Linked DNA regions of Danio rerio. The protein of the gene in region 3 purifies or fractionates together with the protein of the main gene of each other region. This does not show direct contact. Links are inferred from orthologs where the notes say so. Each region holds a gene or a part of one and is shown on either strand. Other genes may lie near its edges. The genes, in order: ier5, sertad4 and ppp2r2d.

Region 1 (3,218 bases), on a different chromosome or scaffold from region 3:
GGAATAAATATGTGAAACAGAAAATACATTGGGACAATTGTTTTTGTTTACATCCCTCAAAATGGTCTATATGGACGTTGTTTTTTTTAATGAACAACAATTTAATCGCCCCTTTAAAAACAGGAGCTTAACACAACAACAGGGTGCTGATTTATGACTGATAGTAAATAATAATGCTTTCATTTTCATTTATCTGTGTGAGCTACTTCAAACAAAGCATTGCAGAATAAATTGTGCGGTAGTCATGGCTGTAATCGTTTATATATAGATAAACAGTCTTACGTCACAGCCTGCTCTTCCTGTCAGGTTTGTTTATGACCCACATCTTAATGCAGGCAGACTCACAAACCAACACGCACGGATTATTCATTTAAGAACCAGACATACACACGCAAAACGAAAGCATCGACGTGATCTTAATCTTCAATTGAGGGTAAAATCTCCCACACTGTTCGTGAGTAGCTGCTAACTGTTTCTTCAAACAAAACATTGCCCTTCCCCCCACGGGCAGCTCCATTCACATTTGCCCAGACACCGCAGTGGATTTGCACAATAGAGTCATGTGACACGACTGTAGCAGACAAACCATTACATCAGTCGAGGAAGTCAGTTGAAAAAAATTAAAGGGGAAGTAGCCTTCTTTCCCTTTTACCAGAAAACACAACGATACACTATGCGGAAACCGTGTGATGGTTATTATGTAGCGATGGATATATCTGAAATGTTAATATTTTGAAACAAAACATATTACATAAAGGGATAATTCTGGAAAACAACGTTAAATGTAAATCATGTTTTGGTATACGTGTATAGGGTCACATTTGGCTTGTTTTAGCTTCTGTTTACTTGTGAAAACGGTGTTGTGTTTCAAATATAGTTTATTTTTAACTTTCTAAACAAATACAGCCTGAAAAACACTGAGAAATATAAAAATATCCGTCTATTTTAGCTTGAAAACAATTCTTTCCCTTTAAGCAGTTCTCCCACGTTAGTATTTAAATATGACTCATAGCTGAAGCGCCCTTTCATTGGCTATCGCCTGTTTGGCGGGGTGTGATTCACAACTGTGGCAGAGCGCAACTCGCAACGCGATTGGCTAGTGTAGCCGCTGACGCCGGAGTATAAATGCGAGTTAAAAATAGAAACGGTCTCATTCCTCCCTAGACCATTGTTGGGTGCTGAAGAGAATGTGTGAGGTAATAAAATCTCCTACACTCACCCAATAACAAGATCTTGTATTTTGTATATGAGAATGAAGCCAACAAAACACGGGATTTGATCTACAGGAGGAACGGAAAAGCACTTGGACGTTGTTGTTTACTAACGGCTTTCGCGTTAACGTTTTGAAGAGAGAGGAAATCAAAGGCGAAACGCCCGGCGAACTTTGCACCGTTTGTGAACTTTAAACGTATCGATTCCAGCTATGGAATACAAAGTGGAGGCCCATCGGATTATGAGTATCTCCTTAGGGAAGATCTACAACTCACGCGTTCAGCGAGGCGGCATTAAACTGCATAAAAACCTACTGGTTTCACTGGTCCTCCGAAGCGCGCGCCAGGTCTATCTGAGTGACTACTACAGCGGCGCGTGCCTGAACGCTCAGAGTGAACGCGAAGGGAACGAGTGGGACATCACCGACTCCGAGCGGGAGAAATTCCCTCCCTCTACAACGGAATGTGACCGAGTAGAGAGCCCTGAGGAACCTCAACTCACCGAACAGCCCGAGGCGAGCGAGAAAGAGCGGGAATATCGCGAAAACGACGCTGAGAAATCAGAACGAGTGGATTGTACTTCCACTTCTGAGCAAGAAAGCAACCAAAACTCTTCTTTAGACTCGGTTTCAACGGAAACCACTACGGAGAGTCCCTCAGACACTACAGTAGCGGAACGCGACTCAACGCCTGTGGTGGTGAACGGGGAATCACATCAACCACCCAAAACGCATGTTTGTTCTTCAAACAGGAAAAGAAGCGCAGAGGAGTCAGAAAGTGGCGATGCGCCTCAAAAAAGGACCAAAGTTGCTTCCTCAAACACGAAGGAAGACGAGGAAGAAGCCGAGGAGATGGACACGGGGAACGTCTCCAACCTCATAACAATATTTGGTTCCAGTTTCTCAGGACTTCTCAGCAAAGATGGCACCAAACCTGAGGCCGAGGCAGAGGAAAGCGGTCAAATCTGCTGCGACCAAATGTTGAAAAACCTAAACCCATGGAGTACAGCAATTGTAGCTTTCTAACTGTATCGTACTGTACTTCTCATAACACGTGGTCAGGCCTGGGCTTCAACAACGTACTATGGGGGACTTCCCAGAAAGCATGCGTGGTGGTGCCACCAGAAGCACAAGCTCGTTTTGGCCTGGACTTGCCTTTCTTCTAGTGAAGGAACTATTTGAATGCTGGTGCTACTCTTTGGGATTAACAGTTCTTGAAGTGTTGAACTCTCAAAAGCCATGTGAGCGAATGGTATTACAACAATATGCAAACGTGTCATGAAGGGTCAATATTACATTGTCGCTGAAACAATTCAGGGTCGATCAACTTGACTGTACGAGGGTCAGGCCACTGTTTTTAACGTCTTTGTTTTATAAAGACCTGTACATTTTGTAATATCCGAGTGTGTGTATATATTGTCGCCAATGTCGCATTCTGAATCTATGTATTTTGGTATCATGACAATTTACGTGGAGCTCACGTATTAAAAAAATGTGAAATTACCATATTGTTTCTGTCCTTTATGTTCATGAATATTCAAAACTAATGTAATGATGTCAGCTTTTAATTTATATTTAAATATAAAAAAATTCCAGCTTAGGGGTAGGCCGATAATTGATGATATATCAAATCGTGATAAAATTTACATCAGTAACCGATAAACTCTGGACTTTTTTACTCTATATTGATCTAAGAGCCAATCACACAGCAGAAACGTCCTACAATGGGAATCTAAAATTGAGATGTACCAAATTTTTGGCCACCGAATATTTATCGGACGAAAATGTTATGCAATTTGGACCTTCTAATTGTTGTGGCTTCTGTCATTGTTTTAAATCTGCAAGTATTACCAACTTCTATCAAAATATATATCTCGTTATCGTTAAATATGGAAAATAATTGTCAAGATTACATTTTTGCCATATCGCCCAGCCCTACTCCAGGTTCCCACTGAACAAAGCTTAATATAATTTTGTATCCATCACCTGCAGATCTAACAGATAATCT
Region 2 (3,759 bases), on a different chromosome or scaffold from region 3:
TTCTATAGCATTATAAATGATTATTATAAATATAATATTCATTCATTCAATTTCCTTCTGATTAGTTCCTTTATTCATCAGGGATCACCACAGTGCCATGAACCACCAACTTATCCAGCATATGTTTTACACAGTGGAAGCCATTCCAGATGCAGCTCAGTTCTGGGAAACACCGATACACTCTCACATTCACACTCATATACTATGGCCAATTTAGGTTTTTCAATTCACCTATACCGCATGTCTTTGGACTGTGGTGGAAATCAGAGCACCTGGGGGAAACCCATGTGAACACAGGGAGAACATGCAAGCTCCACACAGAAATGCCAACTGAACCAGTCGGAACTCGAATCATCAATTGCTTTGAAGCAAAAATGCTAACCATTGAGCCACTGTGCCACCCTAATTATAATATATGAATATATTATTATAATACATCATTGTTACTTTACTACTGTTTTATTTAATTGTTTTACCCTTGCTCAATACTTATTAAAAGTATTAATTGTGTTAATCGGAACAATGAGGAGTGTTACTCAACAACTACACAAGAACCTACTTATATAAAAGTACCTTCGATCAGATTGTGCAGCACACACCATAATTTGCTGACAGTACAGTTCTCACCACATACAGTATCTAATGTGCATCTGCAGTTTATGTTGTGGGTGTCTGAATGAGGTGAGTCACTCCAGAGTGTGATTGAAGGTTTGACAGGAAGATGATCAGTACAGGATGTGCTGTGTGTGTCCCTCCCAAACCACAGCATTCTGAAACGGCCCTTTTAGTTGAAGTTTTAGATGATTACAAGCAGCCCGCAGACTCCTCACAAGTCTCTTGAAGTAAATCCTCACCGTGCCCAGACACAAATGACTGGAACGGACTGATGAGAACCACAGGCGGTAAACGATTGCGTGGGTTTTCCTTTGTGCCTGCTGTAGATGGAGGGATCAATGCGTGGCGGTATGCCAGACACTCTTAAACTGGCACAGTGATCTCAGGGGGAATACCCACAAGCACACACACATACATACTCCTGCCCCCCGGCACCAGGAACAGATGCCACAGCCAGCGCAGTGAACCCATCACTTGATAATGAAGCAAGAAATAATCCCACTAACACACACATACCACGTACAACAGCGCCGCTCTCTTACACAACAACAATAGCCTCACACACACAAATTGTCTCCAGACTTGCACTACGCAGACACCACAGCTCAATTCTCCTGTGCAGCAGTAATTGCGCATTCATGAGGACAAATATTCACACTCTGTGTCTAACTATTAACTTATTGTGCTTTCATCTTGTACAATTCATCTCCTTGTAAGGGAATCAAGCTGTAACAGCTCCCTGCCCTTACAGCACGCACACGCACTCACAAAGAGAGAGGGAAAGAGCTTGAGTGTTTTGATGAGTGAAAGGAACGGTGTATTTGTGTGACCTTACTGACATTAGTTTCTTTAGAGATTCAAAGTGTATTTGGGCTCAGTTTAACAAACTATTAACAAATTGAGGAAATGAGAAATTAATTTAAACATAAATCTAAAAGTTGAATATGGATTTAATTTTTTTTTAGAAATGTATAGAATTTAGTAAATAAAAATATTTAAAAGATTCATTTACAATACAATGCAAAATTAAACAAAAAAATATTAAAATGTTCTAAAGAGACCAGATTAAATAAACATTTGATAAATAATGAAAATAAAATATGAATATATAAACAATAACATGATTTTCTGACTTAAAAACATTTATTTGCAGGACCCTTTAATACAACTCACCAGTAAATGAACTTTAATTGAAATGTGACAAAGATACTATCGTGTTTTTTAATATTATGAAAAATGAAATATATAGCATTTTAATTATTCATTATTTTATTTATAAATAATAAAAACAGACATCATGACCTTTAAACAAACTACTTTAAAAAAAATAATCACACATTGTGACTTCAGGATGTAATGCACTGACCTCACCTTGTGCATTTTTTATAGCACATATGCCAATTTCATCTGTAAAACTTGCAGTGAAATGCAGTAATCTGTGTGTACCCTTGTGGCTGAACCCTTAAAAGATCATACGAGTATAGTTGCTCAGTGTTGGCACGGTGCCATGTCTGTCTGCCTCAGGAGGCTGCTGGCGTGTAACTCATTCTGATATTCGTCTGAGTAATGTTTTATTATTCTTGCTTACCTTTACCACACGAGTTGACTAAATCAGAGATGTGATGTTTATATCTGAAGCGCAATCAGTCGTGTCGCTCTCTGTTTTCCCTCTCGTTCCGCTCCTGTGGTCCCGCTGGCTTCATCAATAACTACTTATCCACGATCCATCAGCGCGAGCCTCGCCGACTTGCAGAAATCGATAGGGTTTCGACGGGGAAAGTATCATCCAAAGACGAGCAGTCAGTCAGTCACAGTGTGAACAAAGCCGCTGTGATGTGACGGAATCTCGGCTGCGTGTCCGCGCAGGTCGCGTCGCTTTGTGCCTCAGTGACCTCACCGGCAGACGGTGCAACGTCGCAGCGTTTCCTTTCAACGGGAGTCGTTAACGTCAATGGACACGAGCAGCGTCGCCCCATTCCTTGAAACAAACAGAAAACAGCTTTTTGCTCCGGATCAGTCTCGTCCCAGCAGCAGTGCCTCCTCGGCGGTTTGCGTGTGTGTTTGTGTGCGCGTCTGGTTTTGGTCAGAGCAGAAGAGCTGCGTTTAACTTGCACCGGGAGCGCGCAGGAGAAGTGGAGCGGGCGGGCACGAGGCCAATCATCTGTTAGACATTTCCCTTTTCAGGAGCGCTTTTCTCTGGTCTTCCCTATAGAAGAGGTGGAGTGAGTGGGTTTTGGCTCTCTGGCTGCAGTTCAGGTCCCGCCATAACCCCCTGTTCTGTCACGCGCACCTATAACGTTACAGTAAAGACCCATAGACTTGTGTTTTTCTTTTGCTAAACGCACCCGTTAGAAACTCAATGTGGGTGGCATGTGGGATTCTTGCATTTAATTTAATGTTATTTATAAATGATGCACTGTATTATTTTAGTTATTTATTTGTACTTTTATTTAATAATGTATTATTAAATAACTAACTGATATTAATTACAAGTCTGTTTAGCAAGTTTTACTATATATTTGCTTGCTGTATGTCTAGTTTTTATTATTTTTAACAGTTTTGAGGACAATTTCAGATATCATTAGTATAGTGAAACAAATGCTGAACAATTAGCATAACAACCCCAAAACTAAAACCAACCCACAAAATGACCTAAACAGGCTCAACTCAGCGTTTTTAGTGTGTAGTTTAGACACGTGAGATTACAAGTGACACAATGTAATTTAATTATTGTTGTTATCCTATTAAAATGTATATTTATATTTGTATGTGCATCTTTTATTGTGATATAAAAACACTTACTGTTTTAAAAAAAGTTTAGAATTCAACTAAATATTTAGTTAATTTTATGGTACATTTTATTTGGCAGATTTTCTGAATATATTTTTTAGCTTCACCTTATTTTTAAGGACATTTTTAGCAACGCATCCTCACAAGAACAAGCGTGCACAGACACACACAGAGACAAAGGCTTTTTTCTTGCTCAGTTTTCCTCTGACTTCAGGTTCCAAAAAACACACCCTGTTTCTAGTTAAAAGCAGACATTCACTTCTGTGCCAGAGTCCGTCATTTATTTTCTTGTGTGAAAAGCAGCCCTGTGTTGAAATAGTTTTCCAGGTGACTGGGGGCTTCACAGAGAAACTG
Region 3 (3,759 bases):
CTGATCCGAAAAATGGTCCAATGACTAAAAAAACGTAATGTGATCCGTACCGTGAGATTTGTGATCCGTTACACCACTAGTTGACATGAAGTAATTGTGTTGATCCAACTACCTGTTTAAGGCATTTGTAGTTCCCAGCATGTTTTGCATGGGAATATCTAACTGAGAGAAATGTTGACAATAAAAGTAATCTTTTGCGAGTTCAGACAGCACGATTTTCAAAGTAGTCGCATCACAGATGTTTTCACACTGCATGACTATCTGGGGTAGCATTGGTATGTTAGGTCTCTCAGGAGCATTTGGGCTGAACCTTTTGACGGTGTCTACCGAAACGAGGATGTTATAAATAGGGCTGGCCGATATTGCAAAAAAAAAGTTATCAAGATATCATGGTTCAAATCATTTCGGTATCGATAACTATTAAACATTTTTAACAATACATTTAGGAATATTAGAATTTTTTTAACCACTTTATTTTAATTTACCAACATTACTAACGCAAATAGTTTAAATAGTCAAAAACAAAAATATTAAATAAATATCTGATCTTTTTATAATAAACATTAGTGTTAAAGAGACTCTTAAACTTGATAAATAAATGTTACTAAGTGTGTGCAATGGTACAGGTAGATGAAAATCTGTAAGGTGTAAATAATAATGATACATTAAACCTCAATCTGAGCTTTCAAGTAAAGAAGCAAGCCATCAATATCTAAATACATGCTGAACATTACAAATTGCAAAGTTGAATGACCCACTATGCTTAAACATCTTTCAGATAGGAAGCTGGTGGATGGGATGTACAATAAAAGATGCCAAAAAGCCACTCTGAATATACCAAACAAAATCGAAATATCCAAAACTTTAAAGGATTAAGATGCTGATGACCATCAAACATGTCATGATCGGCTCATAGAAAAGGATCCATTCAGTTTTTATAATATTATCTCTATGAAACAATTAATTGTAATACATTTGATAAATCGTAGCAATTTTTGATCGAGTTATTCTTTTTTTTTCTTCAATAAGCTTTTATTTTGGATTCACACAATCATGCACTTTATTACTTACGCATGCATCTGTGCAATACGAAGGATCATTCGATTTACTTTAATCTATTTAATCTACTACATTTTAGTCATTCAGTAGTTAATGTTCATATAATCAATCATAATTATTTTGACACGCTCTCATTTGAGAGAATTTGACTGGACTACTCCTTTGAGAGCATCATGAGTCATCAGCCCTTTTTATAAATACCTAAAATAAAGATTCACTTTATTTTAAACTGAACTATTATTTGATATAGCACTTTTACGCATCGTATGCGGTGGGGAAAGATCAATAATAGCTCATAAATGTGCAGTTTTATGACAGTGACTTTCCAAATCTACATTACTCCTGACACTGTTTGATTTAGTTATTCAGATTTTAGGTTTTAAGACCACATGCAGTCGATAACATGAAAGCCAAAAACATTTTACAGTACAACGATGCAAGTTTCAAGCTCAAGAAGATCAGTTAAACGTCTTCAACCCATATACTACTTGAATAATAAATAAAAAAACCCCGCAGAAACACTTTCTGATAAAAACAATTGCCATTTTCATGGAAGCTCTCAGCCTCCATCTCTTCACATCATACCCCACAATGCATGCTTTTCCATCCAAAACTCCCATAATGCACTAATCACTCATGCAAACTCACACAGGTACGTTTAAACCCCAAATGTACCCCGTTATTTACCTTCTGCAACATCTTCATCTATGGCTCCTTTGACCTGGGAGAAGCACCACTGGAAATCATTGCCTCCACCAACCCCTGCAAAAACACAACAACACCAGTGCATTTAAATGCATGCTCTTCTCGGCCTGCAACGAGCATTTAAACACCCTGAGGTCGAGCCCTGCCCCGCGCGAGATACAGCAGTGGCTGTGGGTTTGATTTGGTGTCAGTTAAGGGGGCTGGTTTGATGTTTAGGCCGCACTGCTGCCGCTCGCGCCCCCGCCTACCAACACAAACCCCCGCGCGGCGCCTTTACCTGCCATCATCGCCTGTTTCTGTGCCTCGAGCCTTCAGTGCGGCTTATCCTGGAGCTCCGGAGGCCGGACGGTGCGATCGAGTGCGGAATGAGAGCGAGTGGAGGCGCGCGGGATCGGCGCGAGCGGGATCTGCCCGTGATTTGGTTTCGATTCAAGATGGCGCACACTGTCCGTCGACATGACACAGTGACGTCATTTAATCAAGCGCGCCCTGCGCTCGGCGCGTCCTCGCTGCGCTCAGGTTTACGCAGACAGCGTGGGAGTTACGCAAACACCAAACGCCCTTGATTGTCATACAGTGCATCCCTAATATAACACTCTAGAAAATAACTCAAGAGGTCTGTTACCACTACATAGTTTAATACACTATTGTAGCTTAAAAATTCTAATATGCTGATTAGATTAAAACTTTTGAGTAGCCAGAATAACTTTATTAAGTTTTCAAAACAAATAAACATTGATAATTACATCAATTTAAAAATGCGGCTAATTGAAAGATAAATATATCTGTCAGTTACTTTAAAACAATATTTAACTTAAAGCAACCCTACGAAATTGGGTTGATAACTCAATTTTTACACACTAATGGAGTTGTTTTGTATTTTTAAGTCCACACACTGATGTTTTTTGTTATTTTTGTACTGATAATATGGGACAGAACATGTTTTTGTTTTGTAAAAAAAAAAAGGAAAAAAAGGAAACCTGTGGTTTAATACAAATAAAAAAATACCAGTTAACAAAAACATTGCTGTTAAATGTATTTCTTACAAGCATGAACAGTAAATTCGAAAACAAACAAAAAACTCAACAATTTCAGCTACTTAATTTATTTGAGGTTCTAAACTTGAAAACATGCATGTAATTAAGTACATAACACTGGATTTGTTTCCAATTTTAATTTAAAAAAACTTATTTTGAGTACTCAACTTAAAAATCTGAGTTTTTTGCTATGTGAAAATGCCTCTGATTGAGGAGGAAAAGATTTGGCTAACATAATAAAGTTTGTTGTCTGAACCTTATTTTGTTAGATGTTGTTGTAACTTGAATATAGTAATGCAAACTGGTGCGTTAATTAATTTTTTTTGTTTTGTTTTGTCTAAACAATATTTTTAGAGTGTAGTTGAAATTCAATGTTTAAACTTACAAAATTAAAAATTTAGTTTTCTTGTAAAGATGTGTTTTTTGATTTACAACAATAATAAAACTTGGAGCAAAATTTATTTATTAATTTAATAATAATATATGGGAAGTACCATATACACAAACAAAAATGGTCCAATGATAAGTCTAATATTCATTTGTTTAAAATTAATCTTGAGCATTATATTGGAACCCCAAAAGAAAGAAAAAAAAGCTATAAGAATGTATGCAATTTTGGAATCATTTTCTTATACTTTTTTTTTTGCAACGTCTATATCCCTTGTAATTTTATTTTTATTTGTATTAATTTTTTTCTTTTTTCTAATGATTTGTTCCTTTAAAGTGAAATATTTACATATTACATATAAAATGTAAACATTGTATTGCTCATTTTTTGTATGCTATTGTTCTTGTTATGCAATTAAAAAAAAAATCAAATTCAAAAAATAAAATTCAATTTTTTATTCCCAATTATTGGTTTAATAAAATTGACGGTCTCCCATTAATTTTGAAATGTAATTTTGCTCCGAATAAACTCCTCATAAAATTAACTAACTTTTACCAGCAAACATTACTG

The links.
Region 1: the proteins of ppp2r2d (region 3) and ier5 purify together in Homo sapiens (affinity purification with mass spectrometry; 3 studies listed by BioGRID and IntAct, counting the BioPlex papers as one, with this or other methods). This does not show direct contact. The link is inferred for Danio rerio from reciprocal best matches to the Homo sapiens genes PPP2R2D and IER5.
Region 2: the proteins of ppp2r2d (region 3) and sertad4 purify together in Homo sapiens (affinity purification with mass spectrometry; 3 studies listed by BioGRID and IntAct, counting the BioPlex papers as one, with this or other methods). This does not show direct contact. The link is inferred for Danio rerio from reciprocal best matches to the Homo sapiens genes PPP2R2D and SERTAD4.

The regions. Positions count from the first base shown.
Region 1 is NC_133197.1:16,200,833-16,204,050, forward strand, and holds ier5 (immediate early response gene 5 protein), read left to right. Parts: upstream 1-1,229; 5' UTR 1,230-1,423; coding exon 1,424-2,236; 3' UTR 2,237-2,713; downstream 2,714-3,218. UniProt on the Homo sapiens protein: Plays a role as a transcription factor. Mediates positive transcriptional regulation of several chaperone genes during the heat shock response in a HSF1-dependent manner. Mediates negative transcriptional regulation of CDC25B expression.
Region 2 is NC_133188.1:35,234,640-35,238,398, forward strand, and holds the start of sertad4 (SERTA domain-containing protein 4), read right to left. Parts: upstream 2,691-3,759; 5' UTR 2,204-2,690; intron 1-2,203.
Region 3 is NC_133187.1:43,833,764-43,837,522, forward strand, and holds the start of ppp2r2d (serine/threonine-protein phosphatase 2A 55 kDa regulatory subunit B delta isoform), read right to left. Parts: upstream 2,200-3,759; 5' UTR 2,049-2,199; coding exon 2,042-2,048; intron 1,822-2,041; coding exon 1,747-1,821; intron 1-1,746. UniProt on the Homo sapiens protein: Substrate-recognition subunit of protein phosphatase 2A (PP2A) that plays a key role in cell cycle by controlling mitosis entry and exit. Involved in chromosome clustering during late mitosis by mediating dephosphorylation of MKI67.